Drosophila melanogaster: one gene and its partners. The protein of the gene in region 3 purifies or fractionates together with the protein of the main gene of each other region. This does not show direct contact. Each region holds a gene or a part of one and is shown on either strand. Other genes may lie near its edges.

The links.
Region 1: the proteins of CycB (region 3) and Cdk1 purify together in Drosophila melanogaster (affinity purification with western blotting; 8 studies listed by BioGRID, with this or other methods). This does not show direct contact.
Region 2: the proteins of CycB (region 3) and msps purify together in Drosophila melanogaster (affinity purification with western blotting; one study listed by BioGRID). This does not show direct contact.
Region 4: the proteins of CycB (region 3) and Hsp83 purify together in Drosophila melanogaster (affinity purification with western blotting; one study listed by BioGRID). This does not show direct contact.

The regions. Positions count from the first base shown.
Region 1 is NT_033779.5:10,384,065-10,388,560, forward strand, and holds Cdk1 (Cyclin-dependent kinase 1), read right to left. Parts: upstream 2,199-4,496; 5' UTR 2,114-2,198; coding exon 1,965-2,113; intron 1,580-1,964; coding exon 1,076-1,579; intron 1,019-1,075; coding exon 778-1,018; 3' UTR 675-777; downstream 1-674. Other genes in the region: CG5096 (uncharacterized protein), read left to right, coding at 1-73, 132-563; mRpS7 (mitochondrial ribosomal protein S7), read left to right, coding at 2,680-2,723, 2,798-3,410. UniProt on the Drosophila melanogaster protein: Plays a key role in the control of the eukaryotic cell cycle. Required for entry into S-phase and mitosis.
Region 2 is NT_033777.3:16,048,857-16,054,359, forward strand, and holds the start of msps (mini spindles), read left to right. Parts: upstream 1-1,944; 5' UTR 1,945-2,320; intron 2,321-3,021; exon of another isoform or gene 3,022-3,060; intron 3,061-3,218; 5' UTR 3,219-3,288; coding exon 3,289-3,977; intron 3,978-4,032; coding exon 4,033-4,103; intron 4,104-4,167; coding exon 4,168-4,487; intron 4,488-4,546; coding exon 4,547-5,503. Other genes in the region: IKKbeta (I-kappaB kinase beta), read right to left, coding at 365-464; CG5013 (uncharacterized protein), read left to right, coding at 932-1,060, 1,112-1,726. UniProt on the Drosophila melanogaster protein: Binds to the plus end of microtubules and regulates microtubule dynamics and microtubule organization. Function in neurons is essential for adult survival, and is important for climbing behavior and activity.
Region 3 is NT_033778.4:22,802,707-22,809,445, reverse strand, and holds CycB (cyclin B), read left to right. Parts: upstream 1-2,497; 5' UTR 2,498-2,764; coding exon 2,765-2,800; intron 2,801-2,946; exon of another isoform or gene 2,947-3,154; coding exon of another isoform or gene 3,155-3,172; exon of another isoform or gene 3,173-3,360; coding exon 3,361-3,506; intron 3,507-3,570; coding exon 3,571-3,779; intron 3,780-3,881; coding exon 3,882-4,786; intron 4,787-4,855; coding exon 4,856-5,152; 3' UTR 5,153-5,925; downstream 5,926-6,739. Other genes in the region: stl (stall), read right to left, coding at 491-667. UniProt on the Drosophila melanogaster protein: Essential for the control of the cell cycle at the G2/M (mitosis) transition.
Region 4 is NT_037436.4:3,191,086-3,198,082, reverse strand, and holds Hsp83 (heat shock protein 83), read right to left. Parts: upstream 5,115-6,997; 5' UTR 4,716-5,114; intron 3,585-4,715; coding exon 1,431-3,584; 3' UTR 1,024-1,430; downstream 1-1,023. Other genes in the region: CG14966 (uncharacterized protein), read left to right, coding at 563-985; CG14965 (uncharacterized protein), read left to right, coding at 5,653-6,997. UniProt on the Drosophila melanogaster protein: Molecular chaperone that promotes the maturation, structural maintenance and proper regulation of specific target proteins involved for instance in cell cycle control and signal transduction. Undergoes a functional cycle that is linked to its ATPase activity.

The DNA of each region.
Region 1 (4,496 bases), on a different chromosome or scaffold from region 3:
TGAAATTGATGAGGAGGCTCTATCCAAGAACGTAACTGGTGGCCAGTACTTGGACTACCCGCCATTGGAAAAGGTAATTCAAGTGCAAAAGCATGTAGAGCTTTAATCAACTAAATAACATAAACTTTTAGGTTTACTTGAATAATTGCAACGTGTCGACTTTGCCGAAAGAACTACTAGTGCGCTGGGATAAACTTAAGGCTCTGGATCTTAGATTCAACCCGTGGAATTGCGACGAATCCAATGACTTCTTGATCAACGTCTTGATAGATCGAATCAACAAGACCACGCCCGTTCTGGCCAAAGATGTCAAATGTGGCGGTCCGAACAAGTTAAACGATGTTACGCTGCTCAGAGTGGCGAATGAACATATGATAGAAAGTTCGACGGGCAGTCTTATATGGGTTGGACTCTTGGTTGTCCTGCTCATCGCGGTGCCGACCATCATTGGTGCTTACGTGATGAAGAGGCGCGGCTGCTTTGGCGTCTTTAGACGTCATGACAGCGGTGCTAGCAGTGCTCTCTATAATAGGACTAGTTTCAACGAGGATTTCCATATTTAACTTTCTTTTTGTATAATAATTAAAGCCTTGAAGCCTTATTATTCTGTTAGAGCGCTGGTAATTTGGCGTAAATCTGTAAATACACTTACATAAATTAAGTAAACGTTGATTGTTTTACACCCTTAGTTTTATTTACGGCTATTTTGCTTTAGATTAGATACCAAGATCTCTTGTTTTAAAATTCTTAGTTAAAGTCAAACGAGAATACCGAACGTTAATTTCGAACTAAGCCCGATTGAAAACCATTGAAATAGGGATGCTCCAAAATGTCCTTGGCGGAAATGCGATGAACTGGATCGTAGATTAACATCTTTTGTATGAGATCAATACCATTCGCATCGAGATTCTTTAACTGATTGGTCAATTGGTTCGTGGACCAGCAGGGGAACGTGTTCTTATAGTCGGGTAGCGAAGTAACGCCCGGCCAAATGTCTTCGGTAGGTGTTTTCAGAATTCTGCAATCAATGAGTGTGAGTATCACAGGGAATAGAAAGTAAATTACCTGTGGTTACCTAAACATTCTAAACAACTGGTCAATTTCCGAGTCACCCTGGAATAGCGGCTTTCTCGTTGCCATCTCCGCGAATATGCATCCAATGGACCAGATATCGACGGGACAGGAATACCGGGGTGAACCCAGTAGCACCTCCGGCGCTCTGTACCACAAGGTAACAATCTCGTGCGTATAAATGCGCACCGGAATGCCAAAGGATCGGCCAAGTCCAAAGTCGGCGACTTTTATGAGGCCACTCTTGTCGATTAGTAAGTTCTGCGGCTTAAGATCACGGTGAAGTACTCGCCGACGATGGCAGAAAAGAATGGCGCTAGTTATTTGGTACAAATAGCTACGGACCAATTCACTCTCCATGTGCTTATCAACTGGCAGCGAATCCATGTATTTCTTGAGGTCCATCGATAGGAATTCAAAGATCAAGTATATGCGGTTCTCCTCCATCAAAACATCCTCCAAACAGACAATGTTTTCATGTTTCAACTCCTTAAGCAACGAAATTTCTCTGTAATGGATATTAAATATTACTACATTATAGAAAAAACATGTGATTAAAGTATTTTAGTTATTGGTCTATCAGTTGAACCAGAAAGTATTCGCAGGCTTCCAATTAATAAACATAAATAGAAAGTATGATGATGTACACATGAGCATAAGTACGCATATAGGATTGTACATACACACACATATGTATGATGAACATAAGCCGTAACATAATTATGCTAGACTTCCACAGTATAAATTAAAAACAATATTGCAAAATCTTCAAACCAACCCATAAGATGTCAAGGAACATACTTTCAATTAAGCATATAAGCCATTTGAATGGAAAAGTCGCGAAAGAACATGAAACATTTTGAGGCTTGGGCGTCCAAGCCGCGGCATTTTACCTGATCGCGGTTGATGGAACGCCTTCGTCGTCGGACTCCAAGCGGATTTTCTTCATTGCCACAATTTGGCCCGTCAGGCGGTTGCGACCCTTATACACCACGCCATATGTGCCCTCGCCAATCTTCTCAATTTTCTCAAAATCCTCCATAATTTATTAAGCTATTTCTTTGCAAGCCACCGACTTTTAAATTAGCGCGTTTTTGACGTATATGCTCTAGTATTACCAGACAGTTTAAACGATGCTAAGCTAGCTACATTTATTCATTTGGAATGTGGGAATGAAACTCAATATTCAGGCAACTTATTGAATTGCTGTATCTTAAAAATGTTGTTAATTTTTTTAAAGTTAATTTTAGTGTACTGTAAAATTCCACGCTTTTTTTTATAGTGATTTCAATTAATTAAGACATCACTTTGTTTGAGTTCGGAGACAAACGTTTCTGCTAATATACTATTAATTAACTTATGAGTTTTTGGTGCAATTAATTTCTATTTTATATCTTTTGAAGGTGAGTACCAGTAGTACGGTACTAAAGAAATTAATTTAAAAAATGTAATTGGAATACCGCAACTGTTTTACTTCATTTTTGTTGTTTCAAAATTACTAAGCTCTTTGTCGATATCTTGACACACCTATATGCATGCCGCAAATGTGCATAACATATATATAACATAGTTTTTTTATTTTTTGCCGACACAGCAGACGATGTAAACATGTCGCTTTTAGGTAGGATTGCAGAGAAAACTTCAAGGCTCAGGTAAGTTAAACTTCTCTAAAGTGTTACTTATCTCTAAAAACACAAATGACTGATCACCCATTTGTTTATTGTAGCTGCCTTCGATTGATGTCGGTGTATCCCACACACTATGTCGAACCAATTGTACAAAAATATAAACAACTAGAGCAAAAGAATGATCTGTCCAAGCTTTACCATGTGCCCATCAAGGCGGCGGTCAACAAATCGTCTGATACCATCTTTCACGACGATACAAAACATAAAATGATCAATTATATAACGAAAAAGGGGAACAGTGCCTTGGCCAGAACGCTTTTGTCCAAGACGCTGGAGCTAATAAAACGAACCCAGACGGAGCACATGAATCTGGCCAAAGGGGAGAAGACAACCATAAACACCAATCCCGAAACGCTTCTGAAACAAGCGGTTGAAAACTGCCGACCGCTCCTTCAAGTGACCGCCATAAAACGTGGTGGTGTCACCTATCAAGTCCCTGTTCCCATCACCACGAAGCGGTCATATTTTCTGGCCATGAAGTGGCTCTTGGAAGCTGCCCGCGAGAAGGAGCGTAAGGTGTCCCTGCCGGAAAAGTTGGCCTGGGAGATTCTCGACGCAGCCCATGGCCAGGGAAGGGTCATCAAGCGAAAGGACGATCTGCACAGGCTGTGCGAAAGCAACCGCGCCTACGCACATTACCGATGGAGCTAAATGCACAACAAACTGTTTTTCCAATGCAATAAACTTTTCATATACCTGTTAATATCTATGATTAGGATTTGTGTCCGGGGAATGTCTTAAGAGAGCGGAATATCGAAATAATTCCTGGATTTATGGGGACTAAAAACGAGGACCTTAGTAAAATTGTATGAAGCTATGATACCATTATAAAAACACATTTCTAATATTTTTTCTTTATTTTTCCTTATACGTTGTTTATAGTAGATTTGAAAATTGGATTTTCCAAATGGTGTTATAGCTATTGAAACCCAAAGTTTTTCTTATTACACTTATACTAAGTTTTTATATAAATTTCTTCAACCCATTTACCTGGTTCGTCGTGTTTTAAGCTTCTGAATTTAATTTAAAATTATAGCACAGCTTAATAACAGAGTCTACTCTTTTTAGAATTTTTCTATTTAATTTCAGTATAAAATGCAATTTTATACAAATAAATTATCCTGATTGTCTCAAAAACATATTTTTTCAAGTGCAAAGTTAAAAAATGTAACCTGTTTATCGCGCAACGACAACGGTGTAAACAGTGCGTTAAGGTTGTCGAGGTGTACGTCTATCGAAGGGACTATCGATTCTTATCGAATCGCAACGCTACAGATGACGCACGAAGAGAACAAAGATGGCGATCCCGAGCACACGAAAATTAAAACGAGCTGAATGATAAATAAAGAATTTTTTACCTATAGTTGAAATTCGCATAAGCGCAGTGAACTAAAATAGTTAATAGAAGTGTCATGCATATTTGCAATGTGTAAACGAAGAGTTTATCGCAAAACGGTTTACTTTAGCTGTGCATTTTGATATAATCCCAAAACACATAATCGTACTACTAGTTGAAGTCGACTGGACGACATTACAAAAAAAAAAGTTGGGTAAACTTATCAAACTGTTGTTGAAAACACAAGGATTCTCGGTATTAATACGAAAGAGATATGTATATGTAATACATACGCTGCTGGTGGCTCAACGTCAACACTCGCTGCAACAAAAGGAATTGCATACATAGAATTAACAGTGGATATTAGGGTGAGTACTTTTCACGAAATGTATTTTATTTCG
Region 2 (5,503 bases), on a different chromosome or scaffold from region 3:
CTGCCATATCGGCTAACTCAGCCGAAAGGCTATAAGCGACATATCTAATGCGGAGACCACACCAAACGCGCAAAACTCGAGCCCTCTATCACTATCAGTGGACCACCCGGAAACGCATGCCTCAGCTCGGTTTCTGGGAATTGTTGGACAACAAACATGTTCATATGTATATGTATGTTGTTTTTATGGTTTTATTATTTGGATATATACAAAATACAACAAAAAATTTATTTATTTATGAGTAAGGCTGGAAAGGGGGAGGGTGTTTGGGGGCTGGTAATGTGTGTTTGCGAAAAAGAAAATCCTTAAAATATTTATATGTATATGTATATTAGTGTTAGCCCATAAGGTGTTTATAGCTCACCAATTTCACGGCCCGTTGTTCGGTTTCGCCAATGGATCACTAGGCCGAATCCGCCCTCTCCCAGATTCCGGCACCGCTCCCAGTTCCCAAAAGAGTGCATCTTGTTGTTTTCGTTAAGCTTTATTTTATTTACGGAGCTCATTCTTCCAAGAATCTGAATCCCTCCATGGCAATCGGAAAAGCAAAACACCACAGTGATCATACAAGATTTGCGATATTCGATTGCTTATACACTAGTCATCGTTCAGCAGCAATCGCGGTCACGAGAATTTTGTTTAGAGGAGCGCTCAGCTGCAGCCACTTTCAATTGGGATGCATACCTTTAAATAAACTGGACGAATTGGGATACCCAAAAACGTTTTTAATTGAAGCTTAGAAATGGTGGCTTAAAATGTCAACTGCTACTGAAGTCACCCTTCGGTCACTATTTGCTTCACTCGCCTCAATTTTTATCGATTAAGTTATCGCAACGAAGTGACATCGCTAATCAAACAGGTTGTAAACAAAACGCTGAAAAATAACTTTAGTTTAGTGAAAATAGTAATACTCCTGCATGCTTGAGCTAAGATGCGTTTCCACATGAAGAGCGGCAGCGAGGACAATGACATTGTGGCGGCCACAGCCACTGCCGAGCATATCCGCAAGTTTGTCTTCAGCGGATCACCCGCCGAGCGACTGGAGATCAAAATACCTGAGGTAATCCTTAGAACCAGGTGTTCGTGTAGTATCTAAAGTGTCCGCCTACAGCTGCTTCAGGGTGCCTACTCCTTCTACACATGGCCTTGCGCACCAATTTTAGCCCACTTCCTGTGGGAGCGCCGACAGACACTGGCGGGCAAGCGCATCCTGGAGCTGGGAAGCGGCACCGCCCTGCCCGGCATTCTGGCGGCCAAATGCCGCGCCCAAGTGGTACTTACTGACAACTGCATTCTGCCCAAGTCACTGGCCCATATCCGAAAGTCCTGCCTGGCCAATCAACTGCAGCCGGGCGTTGATATCGATGTGGTGGGCCTGAGTTGGGGCCTGCTGCTGAACAGCGTGTTCCGACTGCCGCCTCTGGACCTTATCATTGCAGCAGACTGCTTCTACGATCCCAGCGTGTTCGAGGATATCGTGGTCACAGTTGCTTTTCTGCTGGAGCGAAATGCCGGGGCCAAATTTATATTTACATACCAGGAGCGGAGCGCCGACTGGTCCATAGAGGCGCTGCTCAAGAAGTGGAAGCTGCAGGCTTTACCCATCAGCATGGAGGACATTGGCAAGGAGTCGGGAGTGGATCTGCTGGAGTTTATGGGCGGACACACTATTCATCTTCTGGAGATCACGCGCATCGAAAGCGATGGCTCAATAAATACAACATAACAATTATACAATTGGCTTTTTTTATGCTGAATGTCAAATCTCTCTTAGTTAATGTTCTACACGGGAATGCTCCCAAACATCAAATAAATATTTGCCTGTGGTAATCGCTTGAAATCAATGTTGGCCAAATATTTGGAAATATATGTTTAAAATTTAGCGCGTACCTATCAAAGTTTTCCACCCAGCACACTAATTCTAGGTTTTAGGGGATGCTAGAGTTGTGAGTAGCGGTCACACTGGCGCAACGACGCTGTTGGAAAACTGCGAAAATTATTATTTATTTACCTACCGCGAAACCAAGTAAATTCCGCTGCACAAAAGAGGCTCGAAGTGCTGGAAACGTAGTTAAGTTATTGTTCATTGTTGCTACATTACTTGGCATCCCGGAAAGACCCCGTCGGTGTGTCTTTGTCGAATAAGTGTGCGTGCTTCTGTGTTGTGCCGTGTGTAAGTGTTGGTACGTCGTCGCCTGCGAAAAATCGAAGTTATTGCATTGCGCAGCCCTTTCAAGCCGCTGTCCCTGGCCAGCTGTAAGTCCCGCAGCTCCTCGCCCAGTCCCCGCTCTACGGCGGTACTTGGATCACAATTCTGATGGTGAGTGTGCTAGTGCGTGTACCGGAATGCACTCGGATGCATCGCGATTTTGTTCCAGGGCGTCGCAATTTGTTTGTCGCTAAAATGGGCGATATGTGCTTCATCTGCGGCTCTCAAGTTGCAGCCACTGGAAATTGATAGCCGCTGCAACCATTGGCGGTTGGGTGGAACGGTAAACGACGGCATAATCCAGACACACAGCCCACAGGAGAAACATTTGTTGTTGCCTGCGGTATGATCCGTTAATTCGAACTTGAGAGCGTCGGTGTGCGTGAGAGCTTGAAAGAGCGAAATCAAGAGAGAGGAAGAAACAAAGCGCGGGCATATCCGAATTGAAAAATGCTCTACTCAAACGTGAGCACAGTAGGAGCGCATCAAAACAATATTAAAGAGACAGATGCATGAATAATAAATGGGAGTGATGGAAAATCCACGCCTGATTCAGTCGCAGGCTTTCGTGTGCGTGTGTCACCTTTTGTAGTGGTTGTGCGGGGGGTATTTGCCGTGCCCCTGATTAATTGACTGAAAAAATAACGCGCTATTCAGCGACATGATATCACCCATCCTGGGTGACAAGCCCACCAACCTTTTCCGAAAATCCAAATTTACACTCTCCTATTTCTGCTTCTGTTTGCCAAATAACTGCACTTAGAAAACGACAATCTAAATATGGCCGACCCATTTACTTTTTTCCGCCCCTCGAGCGAAACGGATGGATGATTCTGCTTCCTTGGCCATCGGTATTTCATAGACTATTAAGCTCAATTTTAAAACATCAGCTCGATGACTCCTGACATCCGGAATAGTTCTGCTTCATTGGAAGCTTGGCTAGTTTTTCTTTTAAGAAAAATTCGATTAAAGTAGCTTTTTTATACATATTTATCTTTTTGTTTCGCAGAATGCTGCTTGAGGCTGTTTGCGACTGAGACCATTGAGGAGAACCCGAGTAGCGTACGAAACACGACACAATGGCCGAGGACACAGAGTACAAGAAGTTGCCGGTGGAGGAGCGGTGTGTCCATAAACTATGGAAAGCCCGCGTCGATGGTTACGAGGAGGCCGCAAAGATCTTTCGCGAGCTGGATGACGAGAAGTCGCCGGAATGGTCTAAATTTGCAGGGCTCATAAAGAAGATGGTAGTGGACTCTAATGCTCTGGCCCAGGAAAAGGGTCTAGAAGCGGCCCTCATTTTTGTGGAGAACAGCGGGCTGGCGGGACGCACAGTAGGCGACGTGATGACAGGCATCGTTCAGAAGTGCATTGCGGCGCCAAAGACCAAAACCAAGGAGCTCTCCGTCCAAGTGGCTCTAATGTATGTGGAGATAGAGAAGCAGGAGGCCGTCGTCGAAGAGCTGGTTAAAGGTATGGAGGCCAAGAACCCTAAGATTGTGTCTGCCTGCGTGGCAGCCACCACACTGGCCCTCCGCGAGTTCGGACACAAGGTGATCGGCGTCAAGCCGTTAATTAAAAAGCTTGCTCCGCTAATGTCTGACCGAGACAAGACGGTCCGAGATGAGGGCAAGCAGCTGGCTGTTGAGATTTACCGTTGGATCGGAGCTGCAATGAAGGCACAGATCTCAACGCTACCACAGGTAACGCTAAAGGAGCTGGAGGATGAATTCGACAAACTCAAAGGTGAACGCGTTGAACCCTCCAGGTGTGTTCAAGGATTTCTCTCTATCATTGCCTAGCTAAACCGCTCTTACTTTTAGATATCTAAAGTCCCAGCAGGAAAAGCAAGCGAAGATCGCCGATGCTGCAGCGACCGAGGATGCATATAATGGTATGAAGCCCTCGATATTACAAAAGCAGTGAATTATTGATTTGATTTTGGTTTTCGTATGCAGAGGATGATGGCGAGGCTGGCGTTGAAGAAATCGATCCTATGGATCTTCTAGACCCCGTTGACATTCTCTCCAAAATGCCCAAGGACTTCTACGATAAGCTGGAGGAAAAGAAATGGACTCTGCGCAAAGAATCGTTGGAAGTCCTGGAGAAACTGCTCACTGACCACCCCAAGCTAGAGAATGGCGAGTATGGAGCGCTGGTAAGCGCTCTTAAAAAGGTTATAACCAAGGACTCCAACGTAGTCCTCGTTGCAATGGCCGGAAAATGTCTAGCCTTGCTAGCCAAAGGATTGGCAAAGCGATTCTCAAATTACGCATCCGTAAGTAACTCTCACCTTCTTCCAAATAACGTGTTTTCATATGTGTTCTTCTATTTCAGGCTTGTGTCCCATCCCTGTTGGAAAAATTTAAAGAGAAGAAACCTAATGTTGTGACAGCGCTGCGTGAAGCTATTGATGCCATATACGCCTCCACTTCTCTAGAGGCCCAGCAAGAGTCCATTGTAGAGTCCCTGTCCAACAAAAATCCAAGTGTTAAGTCCGAAACGGCCTTGTTTATTGCCCGTGCCCTAACCCGCACCCAACCAACCGCGCTAAACAAAAAGCTGCTTAAACTTCTGACCACCAGTCTAGTGAAAACGCTTAACGAACCAGATCCAACCGTACGCGACAGCAGCGCCGAAGCTCTTGGTACTTTAATAAAGCTAATGGGAGACAAAGCGGTGACTCCTTTGCTCGCCGACGTCGATCCACTCAAAATGGCCAAGATAAAGGAGTGCCAAGAAAAGGCGGAGATTAAAATAAAGGTTGCAGGTCCAAAGAAGGAGACACGACCTGCATCTGCACCGACTGCGAAAGCTGCTGCTCCGGCTAAGACAGTGGCTGGTAGTGTGGACCCTAAGCCAGTAACCCGACCGGCCACTACAGGGGCACGTAAGGTCTTGAAAAAACCGGCGACGGTTAGTGGAGGAGGAGCTACATCTGCCCCAACTGCAGCTCTTAAAGCGGGTGGAAAACCCCTAGCCACGGAACGCGAAATAACCCCCGAGGAATTGCAAGAAAAATCCGAAGAAATTCTGCCAGCCGAAATTCTTAATGGGCTGGTGGATTCCAACTGGAAGAACCGCCTTGCTGCTGTGGAACAGCTTCTGGGCGAAATAAGCGGTTTTGATGCAAAACAGGCTGGCATATCACAGATCCTGATCCGAACAATCAGTGGACGAAAGCCAGGCCTCAAAGAAATGAATTTCCAGGTACTCAAGTTTAAGCTAGACATAATCCGCAGTGTGGCTGAAAACTATCCACTGACCACGACAACCGTTGATCTGGTGATTAAC
Region 3 (6,739 bases):
GTAGATGGATGATCACCTGTGTTTGTAAATGGGTTAATCGTATGACATTCAAGAGCACTTACACTTGGAAAATATTGGTGATTAAATCGAGCATACGTTTTTTTTTCTTAATAAATAAATAAAATGACATGCTTTAGCTGTTTTAACCGTTAGATAGAAATTTACTAGTTTTTTGATATTTTTCCATTAACACTTTAAAGTTTTCAGTGTGATCGTGTAAAGATATATCGCTTATCATTCTACTCTGAGGCCACAGCAATAGTTTGATTAATATCCTGACTCACCGCAAACGTAAACTTTTACCATAAATACAATTGTCACATGATTCAAGCCTGACCTTAAGAATATAATAACTAAAGACATTCCTTGTTGATAAGCCTTAAGTTGCAATGAAAGATGTTCTACTTTTGCAGTTCGTCGTGCAGCCACAAAGCCAAAGTGCCATTCATTGGACGACAATGAGGCAGCATTGATTGATATCGGGACTCACCTCAATGCCATTGTAGTGCAAGCTCCTCTTGCGACGCAGCTCAATGTTGACGGATTTTGGATTGGTGGAGGAGGTGGAGGATGAGGAGCTGCTGGCCCCGATTAGCAGCCACAAGGTGGTCAAAACAATTAAAGCCAAACGACGGTGCCGATTAGATCCAATTGCTGCGACAGTCATAACGATGCGTTGATGATGACGGCTTCTCTGGGACTCCACAGGTGGCTATTGTAATGCTCCTAGTGCACTAATCGCTCTTTGTTGTGGCAACAACCACGCGACGATTGTTGCATAAATTGCAAATATATTATTCCTCAGGCTGCGCACCGATTTCGGTTTTTTTGCGTCATAATTTTCAGTGGTAGCGGAGTTACATTTTCCAGCGGCGAAAATCGAGGGTGGAAAACTTGGAGCCCGATTTCTCAAAAGGGGAGAGAGAGCCAAATGAAGGCGCGATCGTGTACGGGGCTCCAACTTTTACGGCTGTTAATTCAAATGTTTATGCACTAATTAATTGCCCAGGCATTGCATTACGAGTCATTTGTTGTGGGCCACTTTTTTTTTTTTTTTGCACTCTATCTTATTTATGTTTCGTTTTATTTTAGTGGCTGGTGTACTTTAGTTTGTTGCCTAAGTTCTTCCTTATGGATCGACACTCGAGATAAGACCAAATGGTGCTTGAAAAATGCTATTTTAGCTCCAGCTCCAGTTCTGAATTGCCAATATATTGTACATATAATGCCAGTCTTTTGTCATTTAAACGCACTTGATTTTATTTAAACGCCAGCGCACAATTAAGCAGCCAGCAACAAACACACACGGCATATAGATCATCGGCTCTGGAGCATAACGATCTTCTGGTTTTATGTCCATAGCCGAAAAGCACTTTATATGTATATTTTTTAACTAAAAATCGCTAAATCACGCCGAAATCTGACCGCTTTGGGGCATTTAAAATTTGAAACGATTTACTGGAGGTCAATGCGCGTTGGATCGATCGAAGGACTTTTTTCGTGGCGACGAAAGAGACGGCGACAGAAGCGCAGAAAGAGGCGGCGAGAGCGAGGCAACCACTCGCGACGGCGGCACTTTTGCGAATGAAATGTGAAAATCACGGAAAACTCGAGCTCGCGATCGTCGGCTGGCGCTCCATTCTCGTTCGGCTTTTTGGCCGGAGTTCGCAAAAGTACTTTTGGAGCGCAAACAGACTCATAAATATATGCTAATGAGCCAGAGCGCCGGAAGAAGAGAAGAAGAATGCGCCAACCGTTAAGACGCAGCAAAGGGCCACAAAAAAAAAACAGGAGAGTTTGGGGTACTAAACAAAAACAGAGGCAAAATTCTGAGGCGATGGCGATTGTTTTGTGGTCAAGTGCTTGAAAATGATGGAGCAGACGAAAACTTGACACTGATCATCAGCAAAAAAGGCTGCGGAGTGGCAAGAATTATGCTGCATTTCCGCCGCGGAGTTTCGATGTTCTGCGGCCTGTGGCAGCAGGAAATCTTAAATCAGCGAATGCAAATCAGGGGGGCACAAAAACAAACCGAACACAGCCAATTGAAGTGATCAACTTTTAATTGATGCAATCAATGGATGGTGCAACCGAGTGACGACTGGCAGTCAAAGCGATGGCTTTATTAAAATGGGGAACCTTAACCAACTATCAAATTTAATCCATGAAGTTTTCATTTTTAAAATATGTATAAAATGGATTGAGCTTGAATATCTAACAGAAATTTCAAACTGTAACGTTTTCTTTTTCGGCTAATTTTAAATTTAAATTTGAAATTTATGGGTAGCACTGTTTCAGCCCTGTCATCGATAAGCTGTGCACCAGTACTGGTCACACTAAAACTATCGAAAATTATCGCACGTATCGCATCTCTATTTTGCATGCTCTGCTCTAATAAATCGATTATTCTCGAGCGCCACTGCGGCTTAAAAGGGAACTAAGTCCAGAAATCGATATCGTCAAACTCATCGGCATTTATCATCGAGTTTACTTCCATCCCCATTCCCATTTTCAAATTCAAACGGCAGCTTGGCCTCGCTTCGTGTGCAAAAACTCGATCAGGTTTTCGGAGAATTGACAATCCCGCACTCGACTTGTAAATTATAAACTATTAGTAATCATATATTCGGACAACAAATTCAACAGCTAAACAAGCGTTCGGTCACAGAAACGCGATCAAAAGTCAACCAAACCAAGTGATAGCCAAGCGTCTGCCTATCTTCGTGTTAATTGTGTTTGTACAGATAGAAAAGAAGCAATCAAAATGGTGGGCACAACACTGAAAATGCGTGGCGATGAGGTGAGTTGATCCCTAGAACATTAAGATTACCGTGGCATCCGCGAAAAGGTCATGGTAAAGTCACAAACTAGTGGGCTCGTCATCAGCGAGACGCCATTGCAGCGTGGTCATGTAGAGAGGGGCAAAGAGGACGCTGCGATAGTGCGATGAGTGTGTGAAGGGAGGGGGAAAAGAAAGAGTGCCGTTTGTCCCGGGCGCTCATTGTTGTCGTTGTTGCAGTTGCCTTGCTCACATTTTGGCGCAATTTTCTACCGGCGGTGCTTGCACCGTTAATTAGTACTCTCCACACCTATTTTTCGCACCAAATCACAGAGGAGATAAATCGAGGATCAGTCTTGCGGTGCTTTTCCCAAAATGGCCGCCCTTGAAAAGGTGCATTTCATGATCAAGTCATTATTATGCAACAAACTGATCTTGCTTTAACAATTTAAAATAATTAAAATCAGTGCTCAATAATTAAAGATGTTAAAGAATAGGGTTCAAAGTGCAGATATGCATTCAACTATACTTGTTGCACTTCTCCATTTGTTTTCTAAAACTAATTAAACAATATTCGATAGAACGCTTCGGAGAACTTCAAGCAAGTGCAATTGAAGAAATTGACGGTTCCTTCCATGGAGGCAACAACAAAACGCGCGGCCTTGGGCGATTTGCAGAATCGCGGCATAAGTCGTCCCATCGCAGCGAAGGATGCGGCACAGAAAGAGTAAGTGTTTGAACCAGTATCAAGTATTCCATTCGCAATCACATGTGGTTACTCCACCGAGCAGCTCCAAGGATCTCAAGCTCACAGACGCCCTGCGCAATGCCAAAGCTCGGGTGGACAGCCACTGGAAGAAACAGCCACTGGGCAGCACCAATGGCAATGGCAATGGCGCCGTTCCGCCCAAGGTCAACGAGGGGGGCGTGTCGGCGTTTTTGCGTTCGAATTCGGTGCGCAATCGCGTTCCGACCAAGACCACTGTAGAACCCACTAAAGGTAAGCAAAAGAGCAATCATCTACCAATCATCATCATCTACCATTTCCAATTTTTGAATGGCTTGCATCATACTGACCCCAATTCATCTTGAATCCCCAAAGTTACAGTCAAGTCCAGTTCTTCCGAGAACGTGAACGAGCCCACCTTAAAGCGCGAGGACAGCAATCTGTCGAAGAAGTCGCTGACCAAACTGCGTGCCGCTTTGGCCAAACCCGTGATGGGAGTTTCAGGAATTCGACGGGAACCAGTAGCTGTTTCCCGCAAAGAGGCAGAGACCAAGAAGGAACTGCCAGAAACCAAGAAGGACTCACTGGAAGTGAAAAAGGATGCGACCAGGATGCCCCTTATTAGGGGCAACAGTGCAGTCACTACGACCACATCTACGATGCCCACCACCATGTCCCTTTCCAGCAAGCGCTTGGCTGGAATCGAGGACATTGATGCCAATGACAAGGAGAACCTGGTACTGGTCTCCGAATATGTAAACGACATCTACGACTACTTGTATCAGGTGGAGCTGGAGCAGCCCATTCACAAGGATCACCTGGCCGGACAGAAGGAGGTGTCCCACAAGATGCGAGCCGTGCTGATCGATTGGATCAACGAAGTCCACCTGCAGTTCCATCTGGCTGCAGAGACCTTCCAGCTGGCGGTGGCTATCATTGATCGCTACCTGCAGGTGGTCAAGGACACCAAACGCACGTACTTGCAATTGGTGGGAGTGACAGCACTCTTCATAGCCACCAAGTACGAGGAGCTGTTCCCGCCGGCAATCGGAGATTTCGTCTTCATCACGGACGACACCTACACTGCCCGGCAGATCCGACAGATGGAGCTGCAAATCTTCAAGGCCATCGACTGTAATCTGTCGCGTCCGCTGCCGATTCACTTCCTTCGACGCTACTCGAAGGCTGCTGGCGCCGAGGACGAGCACCATACGATGTCCAAGTACTTCATCGAGTTAGCTTCCGTGGACTACGAAATGGCCACTTACAGGCCATCGGAGGTGGGTTTCAATACACTATCCCCTTTTATTTAGCATAGGTATATGTAATATTTTTTGCGGCGCCTTTAGATTGCAGCTGCCTCACTGTTCCTGTCGCTGCACTTGCTCAATGGAAACCACCGGGCCGGTACAGGATTCAACGACCGTCACTGGACGCCCACTCTGACCTTCTACTCGCGATACTCGGCCGCGCACTTGCGTCCGATTACCCGGCTGATCGCGAAACTGGCCCGGGACGCTCCTCAGGCCAAGCTGAAGGCCATCTACAACAAGTACCAGGGCAGCAAGTTCCAGAAGATCGCGCTGCGAACGGAGCTGACCGGTGCGCTGATGGACTCGATTGTGGGCCAGAGCCAGAGGAAATAGTGCGGTCCAAGGCGGACTGGAAGACCCTGACTTACCTAGTTTAGTTTAATTTGTTTTCATTTTTAAATTTGTAGCGTATTTCATTTTCTGTTCGTTTCGTGTTCGTTAAAAAATGCGTATAGTTACCGTAGTCGCATTGCCAACTATCTTTACCTGCATCACCCATCCCTAAGATATCGTAATCTGCTGGAGTCCCTTGAGCAGTTTTCGGCTACTGCCAAGAGCTGGCTCCGGCATCTTTGCCCACGGAGCACAAGTTGCTCGCGAGCCGGCCGCTGGGAGTGAGTTCCTCCGGTAAGACTAGGAACCGAACTAAACTGGAGCCCGTCAGCTCCTTTCGCTGGGTCACCATCTCAGTGGGAGCGAGCGGCGGAGCGGTGGACACCGAGAGAGAGAGTGGGCAACGAGTTCATTTGCTGGCCGAACACATCGGCGTTGTCTCTCCAAGAATTATATTTTATAATTGTACCCGTGAAATCATTTCATCCCCTACCTACCTATCACTAATTGTATTTGTCGTTAGTTTTTAGTTTCGATGGGAATGAATAAATCCAAAAAATTGTGCAAAATTATTCCCATAAATCGCATAAAAAAGAGACGTAGACTATTTGTAATTTATATCATGTATTTCGCACATTCATACAAAAACAACTTATGCTAGTTATATTGTTTACCACTAAGCAACGATTAAAACACGTTTTAACTAACTGATGTTTCCCAAAAATGTCTCTGAACAATACATAGAAAATAAAGTTTTGTATAATTTTATAAACAATATTCGTGTTTACCTTGCATGCAATGTGCCGCCATGTGACTTCATTAGTTTTGAAATCTTTCCGACAGCTGATAAGTGTGAGAAATTTTCCACACCCCTAAAAAAACCAGACAGCCTGAGATGAACGCAGACCCTTTTCCAAGGACGGAGGTCCTTTTGTCCTGCATTCTTATCAATCCTGAATACACAATATATGTACAGTGATATACCTCTGTATACCCTGCACCTATGTACATACATACAAACATATGTATAGTCGGCGCCCCTGGGGAAGGTCACCTTCCCGATCGCAGGTCAGTTACTTCTCTTCCGCTTCTCCCTTTCCTTCTTCCCTTTTTAACGCTTTTCTCTCCCTTTTTTTGGTACCGTGTTCCATGGGCAACGGTAATTGCCGAGCACATTGCTCGCACATGGTTGTGCGTGTGTGTGTGTGGGTGTCTATCTCACTTTTCTCATGTACAGTAGTTACTCGATACAAAGCCAAATAAAGGCAACCTTATAGTTAAGTTCTTAAGAAACATATAAGCGAATTATCGAACGAATATTTCAAATAGTTTTCGTTAGTAGCAATTAATGCATTAGGTAAAAAGTTTGAGTTTCAACATTTGTTCGCCTTATAGAGCGCCCACTGTACACGGCCTGCTGACTTTGCTGTGCGCCTGTTCGAAATTTAAGTTTGACGGTTTTATGACTCTCATTAATTCTTGTTTACGGTCAAACAAATGTAGTAAAAAGAAAGTCATTTTTCTCGGCACCTCCGCTGCTCCTCCCTTTTGGCATATTTTATGTTGGCTGCCAGTGGCAATCGGCGT
Region 4 (6,997 bases), on a different chromosome or scaffold from region 3:
GATTTAACTGTAAGCTCTGCAATGTGCATTCCTGCAATTCTCTCCTAAGCAACTGAATAATGATCCCCGATCATTTATAGGCGATAAATGCATTTTTAAGATGCTTCTCGGCGCAGTTTTAAATAGTGCAAAGTGTTAAAGCGTTGTTTTCTAATGCAAAGACGAGTAGAGAAGAAACTATGAGTACATAACAATGATGAATATATGATAATTTTTTACCTAATCATATTTTGTTTTAATACTTTTATTTACATGTTGTGGTGACTTCGGGGGGAATGTGTTTAGAAAACCGTTAAATAATACTCAACAGGAAAATAAAAATACATTTTTGAATCGTACTATTCATGTCCAATCTGTAAGTTACATGGAATGTAAAAATGTAGTTTTATCTTCGTTTCGTGAGTGAGAACTCACGAGATATGCTCATCCCTATATGTGCGCATCCCTGGTTTTCTCCACGAATCAGCTGATAGACGCCAGTAGACCTCGCAAAATTAAACACTAGTTGCTATTAAAATGCATTTAAAAACACAAAATATTTAAAATAATTGCCAAGAAGCTAATGCGCCGCTTGTTTACATCGGTCAACGCCCAAATAATGTCGAAGAGCAAGGGGAAATCAAAGGCCGGCGTTGAAAGTGCGAAAAACGATGCAAAAGCGATGCCGGCTAAGGAAGCCAGTCCGATTTCAGTCGATAAGAGCGGCAATATATGCATACAAATCCTTGCCAAGCCGGGGGCTAAGCAGAACGGAATCACAGGAATTGGCTTTGAAGGAGTGGGCGTCCAAATCGCCGCTCCGCCCAGCGAGGGAGAAGCTAACGCCGAACTGGTCAAGTTTCTGTCGAAAGTTCTAGGTCTTCGAAAGAGCGACGTTTCTTTGGACAAGGGATCTCGATCGCGAAACAAGATAATAATGATAACCAAGGGAGTGTCCACGGTGGAGGCCATTGAGCAGCTGCTGCGCAAAGAATCCGATTCATAGATTGTTTATTCCCCCCAATAAATACTCGCTCAGAAGTTAGATTTTTAAAACACATTTGCTTGTTGTTTATTTGGTTTTATGTTTATCATCGATCGGGTCATCAAACCTTAATTATATATATACTCGATTCTTTATATAGCTCTACCAACTAGGGCGCGTATGTAGTCTTTAGTTTTTTACATAAATTACTTGGATTCTAAATTATAAGTTCTTAAAACGACAACTGCTCTTGAATGTTCTGTGAGAACCTAACCATTTAACGAGTTATTCCTGCTTTTTTATGAGTTAAGCGTATGTCTGTCGCTTATAACGCGGCAAAATGTTAATGAATACAAAATTTAACTCGGCCGTAGTAAACTCAGTATAAAAGTTCGAAACGCAAGTAAATTGTGTATGTGAATGCGAGTGATAGAATGAATTTTGGTTGTTTGTTTCGACTGGTCGCTTAATCGACCTCCTCCATGTGGGAAGCGTCCTCTGTGTCCTCAACCAGCGAGGGGGCATCTCCGGCGCTCTGGGCATCGTCGGTAGTCATAGGCTCGTCCTCGTCGATTCCCAAGCCCAGCTTGATCATGCGGTAGATGCGGCTGGCGTGCACCTGGGGGCTGTCCAGCGAGAATCCAGAGGACAGCAGAGAGGTCTCGAACAGCAGGATGACCAGATCCTTGACGGCCTTATCGTTCTTGTCGGCATCGGCCTTCTGGCGGAGAGTCTCCACAATTGGGTGATCGGGGTTGATCTCCAGCTGCTTCTTGCCGGCCATGTAGCCCATTGTGGCGGTATCACGCAGAGCCTGGGCCTTCATGATGCGCTCCATGTTAGCGGACCAGCCGAACTGCGAAGTGACAATGCAGCAGGGCGAATCCACCAGGCGGTTGGACACCACCACCTTCTCGACCTTGTTGTCCAGGATGGACTTCATCAGCTTGCACAGGCTCTCGAACTTGGCCTTGTCCTCCTCGCGCTTCTTCTTCTCGCTCTCATCCTCAGGCAGCTCCAGACCCTCCTTGGTGACAGAGACCAGCTGCTTGCCCTTGTACTCCTTCAAGTGCTGGATGACATACTCATCGATGGGCTCGGTCATGTAGACCACCTCGAAGCCACGGGCCTTGACGCGCTCCACGAAGGCAGAGTTGCTGACCTGGTCCTTGGACTCGCCAGTGATGAAGTACACGTGCTTCTGGTTATCCTTCATGCGCGACACGTAGTCGGCCAGGGAGCAGAAATCGTCGCCGGAGGCAGAGGTGTGGAAGCGAAGGAAGTCGGCCAACTTGGCACGGTTGTTGCTGTCCTCGTGCACACCCAGCTTCAGGTTCTTGCTGAACTGGTCATAGAACTTCTTGTAGTTCTCCTTGTCCTCGGTGAGCTCCTCAATCAGCTCCATGGTCTTCTTGACCAGGTTCTTGCGGATCACCTTTAGGACCTTGTTCTGCTGCAGCATCTCACGTGAGATGTTGAGGGGCAGATCCTCGGAGTCGACCACACCCTTCATGAAGTTCAAGTACTCTGGAATGAGGTCCTCGCAGTTGTCCATGATGAAGACACGACGCACGTACAGCTTGATGTTGTTGCGCTTCTTCTGGTTCTCGAAGAGATCGAAGGGCGTGCGACGGGGAATGAAGAGCAGAGCACGGAACTCCAGCTGACCCTCCACGGAGAAGTGCTTGACGGCCAGATGATCCTCCCAGTCGTTGGTCAGGGATTTGTAGAACTCGCCGTACTCCTCCTGGGAGATATCATCGGGATTGCGGGTCCAGATGGGCTTGGTCTTGTTCAGCTCCTCATCCTCAGTGTACTTCTCCTTGATGGTCTTCTTCTTCTTGGCATCCTTGTCCTTCTTGTCGGCATCCTCATCCTCGCCAACATCCTCGATTTTGGGCTCATCAGTCTCCATCTCCTTCTTCTCATCACCTTCCTTCTTCTCATCATCAGCCTCATCGTCGCTGACCTCCTTCTCGCGCTCCTTCTCTACGAGCAGCTTGATGGGGTAGCCAATGAACTGGGAGTGCTTGTTAACAATCTCCTTGATCTTGCTCTCCTCCAGATAGTCGGTCTGGTCCTCCTTGATGTACAGCACGATCTTGGTGCCACGGCCCAGGGGCTCAGAGTTGTCGGCACGGACTGTGAAAGAGCCTCCGGCAGAGGACTCCCACACGTACTGCTCGTCATCGTTGTTCTTGGAGGTGACAGTCACCTTGTCGGCGACCAGGTAGGCGGAGTAGAAACCCACACCGAACTGACCGATCATGGAAATGTCGGCACCAGCCTGCAGAGCCTCCATGAAGGCCTTGGTTCCGGACTTGGCAATGGTTCCCAAGTTGTTGACCAGGTCGGACTTGGTCATACCGATACCGGTATCAATGATGGTCAGAGTACCAGCCGTCTTGTTAGGGATCAGCTTGATGTACAGCTCCTTGCCAGAGTCCAGCTTGCTGGGGTCAGTAAGGGACTCATAGCGGATCTTGTCCAGGGCATCGGAAGCGTTCGAGATCAACTCGCGCAGGAAAATCTCCTTGTTCGAGTAGAATGTGTTGATGATCAGGGACATCAGCTGAGCAATCTCAGCCTGGAATGCAAAGGTCTCTGCTTCTTCTGGCATCTGCAATGGATTTACAAAATCATTAGGATTAGTTATAGTCTGTGGGTTCAACACTAAGGAAAAGCAGCTGCATTTTCAGCAGCTGCTCCGGTTTTATTCTTTTTCTTTCTTTCTCTTTTGCACATGCCTCATTTAACATGCGCATATACAAGTACAGTGGTGGTCAAAATTATAGCATTCACTTTGCAACCCGTAAAATGGAATTTTAATTTCAATTAGCCAACAGAATTGATTTTAAGTTGCAAAATAATGTTTTAAATTTAAATATTTAAATATAATTATGCAAATTGGGTCGGTTGATAATTTTTCTACCCCTGCTGTGTGCAAACTCGTGTCTGTGTGAGTGAGCATTGCATTGAAAATTCGTACTTCACCAAGGAAGTTTGTGGAAGCATCTAGAAGCCAAAGGAAAACTAATTCGCCTAGCAAGTTGCTAGTAGCAACCAACCAATTAAAATAGAGCAAATAGGATTAAAAAACCGATTTAACAGAATTTGCTTACTGACGCCACATTTTTACTTGAAAGTATTAGTCATGGGCGTGCATGTGTGCGTATGCGGCATGTGCAATTTAAAATGGGAATGCAAAGAAAGCACGTGTAATTGTAAATGAAGGACAGTAATTTATAATTAAAAAGCCTATTTGGCACGCTGTTTAATTCATGCTAAAGCATAGAAACCTCTAGAACATTCTCGAGCGGCAAATGTGATTTGCGCATTGTCACCCCCTAAAAAGAGCGGCATAATTCGATTTAGCGCTAAAAGACCATTGCATTAAACAAAAATTAATCTTGTATTCTATAAACCACATGTAATTGTAAATAAAGGACAGTAATATATAATTAAAAGGCCTATTTGGCACGATGTTTAATTCATGCTAAAGCATAGAAACCTCTGGAAGATGCGTCCAAGCGACAAAAAATAAAAGAAACCGGCATTTTGAGTTAATTTGCACGTTGCCACCTCTTAATTAATCAAAAAAAATTCTTAAACTTGGCTCCTAGAAATTTAAAATCAATATCTCACATTTGGGTCAAGAACATTCGAGATGCACAGGACCACGCAAAATGCACATTTTGGCCATAGCCACTGATAAACTATTCACTCTTTTCTTGTAATTTGCATTACTCACCTTGTATGTATGTTTTTCGTTCTATTCACAGAATAAAGGTAAAAATACAGATATTTTCACTTTGCTTTGTATAGAATTGGAAATTCACAAAACTTTTCAGACGCTGCTTGTTGTTACGACGCACACCGTACGAAATTTTTTTCAAGACTCGAACCGGCAAACGCCGCGCGTCTGCTTTTATAGAAAAACCCGACCCGAACTGGAAGTCTCTAGAAACTTCTAGAGGCTTCTGGATGCCAGGGATGCAACTTCCTGTGAATACTAGGGTAGATCAGTGTTGTGATACGGTCGAAAAGTGCGCAACCTGTGCGGGCGAATTCAAAAATTATACTGAACTAAGTTTGGTGGAAATTCGTCTAAGTGGTCCGAACGATTGAGCAAAGCCCACTGGGATTGCTTAAAACATTACAATTGGATATCAAAACGCCCACTAGGCTTATACTGTAATTAGGAAAATGGAAAATTTAATTGTTCCCAATATTATTTTACTTGTTTTAACAGTAAATAATAAACAAATCAGCTTATGACCTGTTAATTTTTATTTATATTTATGAATACTTTTCTCCACCAGACTATCGATATTTCCAGAGTTTCAGAGACTTGGTGGTGCAAGCTGGTTCCTCTGGAATAAACTAGTTCCATTTTAAGCGGACGGTAAAATTTGAAATCACTTGAGTGGGTTTGGGGAACAAAAATTGGAAAGTTTTTGTTGTAATTAGCTAAAAAGCAGACATTTCACATTCCGGAAAATAATTGCTTCTGTGCAAAACCTGCTACAAGCCCAGTCAAGTAAAAAATCTCTCATTAATTAAGAAGTGTCATATCGATCATTTGGTTTCGGTCAATTCTGTTATCGATGCCTCCCATCGATATCACCAGCTGACGCTAACACTTCCACCACTAATAACATAAAAGTTGTTTGCTTATATTTAAACAAATGGGCGGCACTAAGTGTTGTTTTCGTGATTGTCCGGTGGGTTCTAGCCGCAACCCCAATATGCACTTCTTCAAGTTCCCCGTTAAGGATCCGAAGAGGTTGAAAGATTGGGTCAGGAATTGTTCAAACCCTGACGTTTCAAATGCACCGCCGTCCAAACTGGCAGCCAAAACAGTTTGTGCCCGGCACTTTCGAGCGGAATGCTTCATGAACTACAAAATGGACAGACTCATCCCAATGCAGACGCCCACTTTGTTCAGGATCAACAGGGATCTGGCACTAGACTATGAAAATCTCGACCAGAACGGTGAAGCTCTTCTCGTGAAGTTGACGCCTCCAAAGCAGCAACACCTAATACCACCTAAAGATTTCGAGTGTCCTCTGGGATTCGTGGATGGTGAGACACAGAATTTGGATGTTGTTAAGAAACGAAATACAGTAGAGTTGACAGAAGAGGAGGAACCGCAAGGGAAAGACGAAGCCGACGAAGTGCTGGCTACGGAGCAGGAACAGCCGGTTGTACACACGGAGAAAACAACGGTGGCGCATAAGAGTTCTACAACATCAACAAGCGCTTCGGCTATGCCTCAAAACATTCTAGATATCATAAGTCAACTTCAGCCTTCATTGGGCATCAAATTGATTAAAAGACCAGTAAAGCGTCAATCAGGAAGCGAGAATGAGTTGTTTCAGCTTGAAGAGCAGCTCCCAAAAGAACAAACTGATGATACAAGCAAGATGCGAACAGTCACCAAGGAATCAGAAAAGCAAATTAAATCAAAAAGTTGTATTATTGACGTTATGAAAATGCCAAAGCTTGCCGATAAATGTCAAGAAAAGCAAGTGCCAACTAGAAAAGAGTACCGACCAATTAAAGGGACTGTGGTTAGAAAACGTGGGATGCAGGAGGCAGATGCTGATAGACTGAACGAAGATGAATCCACCAAGGAGCAGGCTAAGAAAAGGAAGCTACCCCAAGAAGCACAAAAGACTGACTCCCACGCTTCACCTGAGAACGGTACGATATTGAACCGATATACACAATTGCAAGAGAAATTCTGGGATGAGCAGAAGACTCCGATGTTGGAGAAACCCACCCAATCCATCCAAATTAATCTTAGTTCTAGCAAAGAAAATAGTCAGAGTGATTCCATTTCCGAAACCTTATCTGAATCTTTTCTAAACCTTGAAGAGAACATACCACTTAGTACTGACAGTGAGGACGAGTCTGAACCAGATGAAAAACCATCTTCATCGGAAGATGCCCATCGCGATAAGCTTCTTCAGGAGTACGATAAACTGCAGGCCGAGTTTGAAAAGCTGTCTGAGGAGAATGCCAAACTAA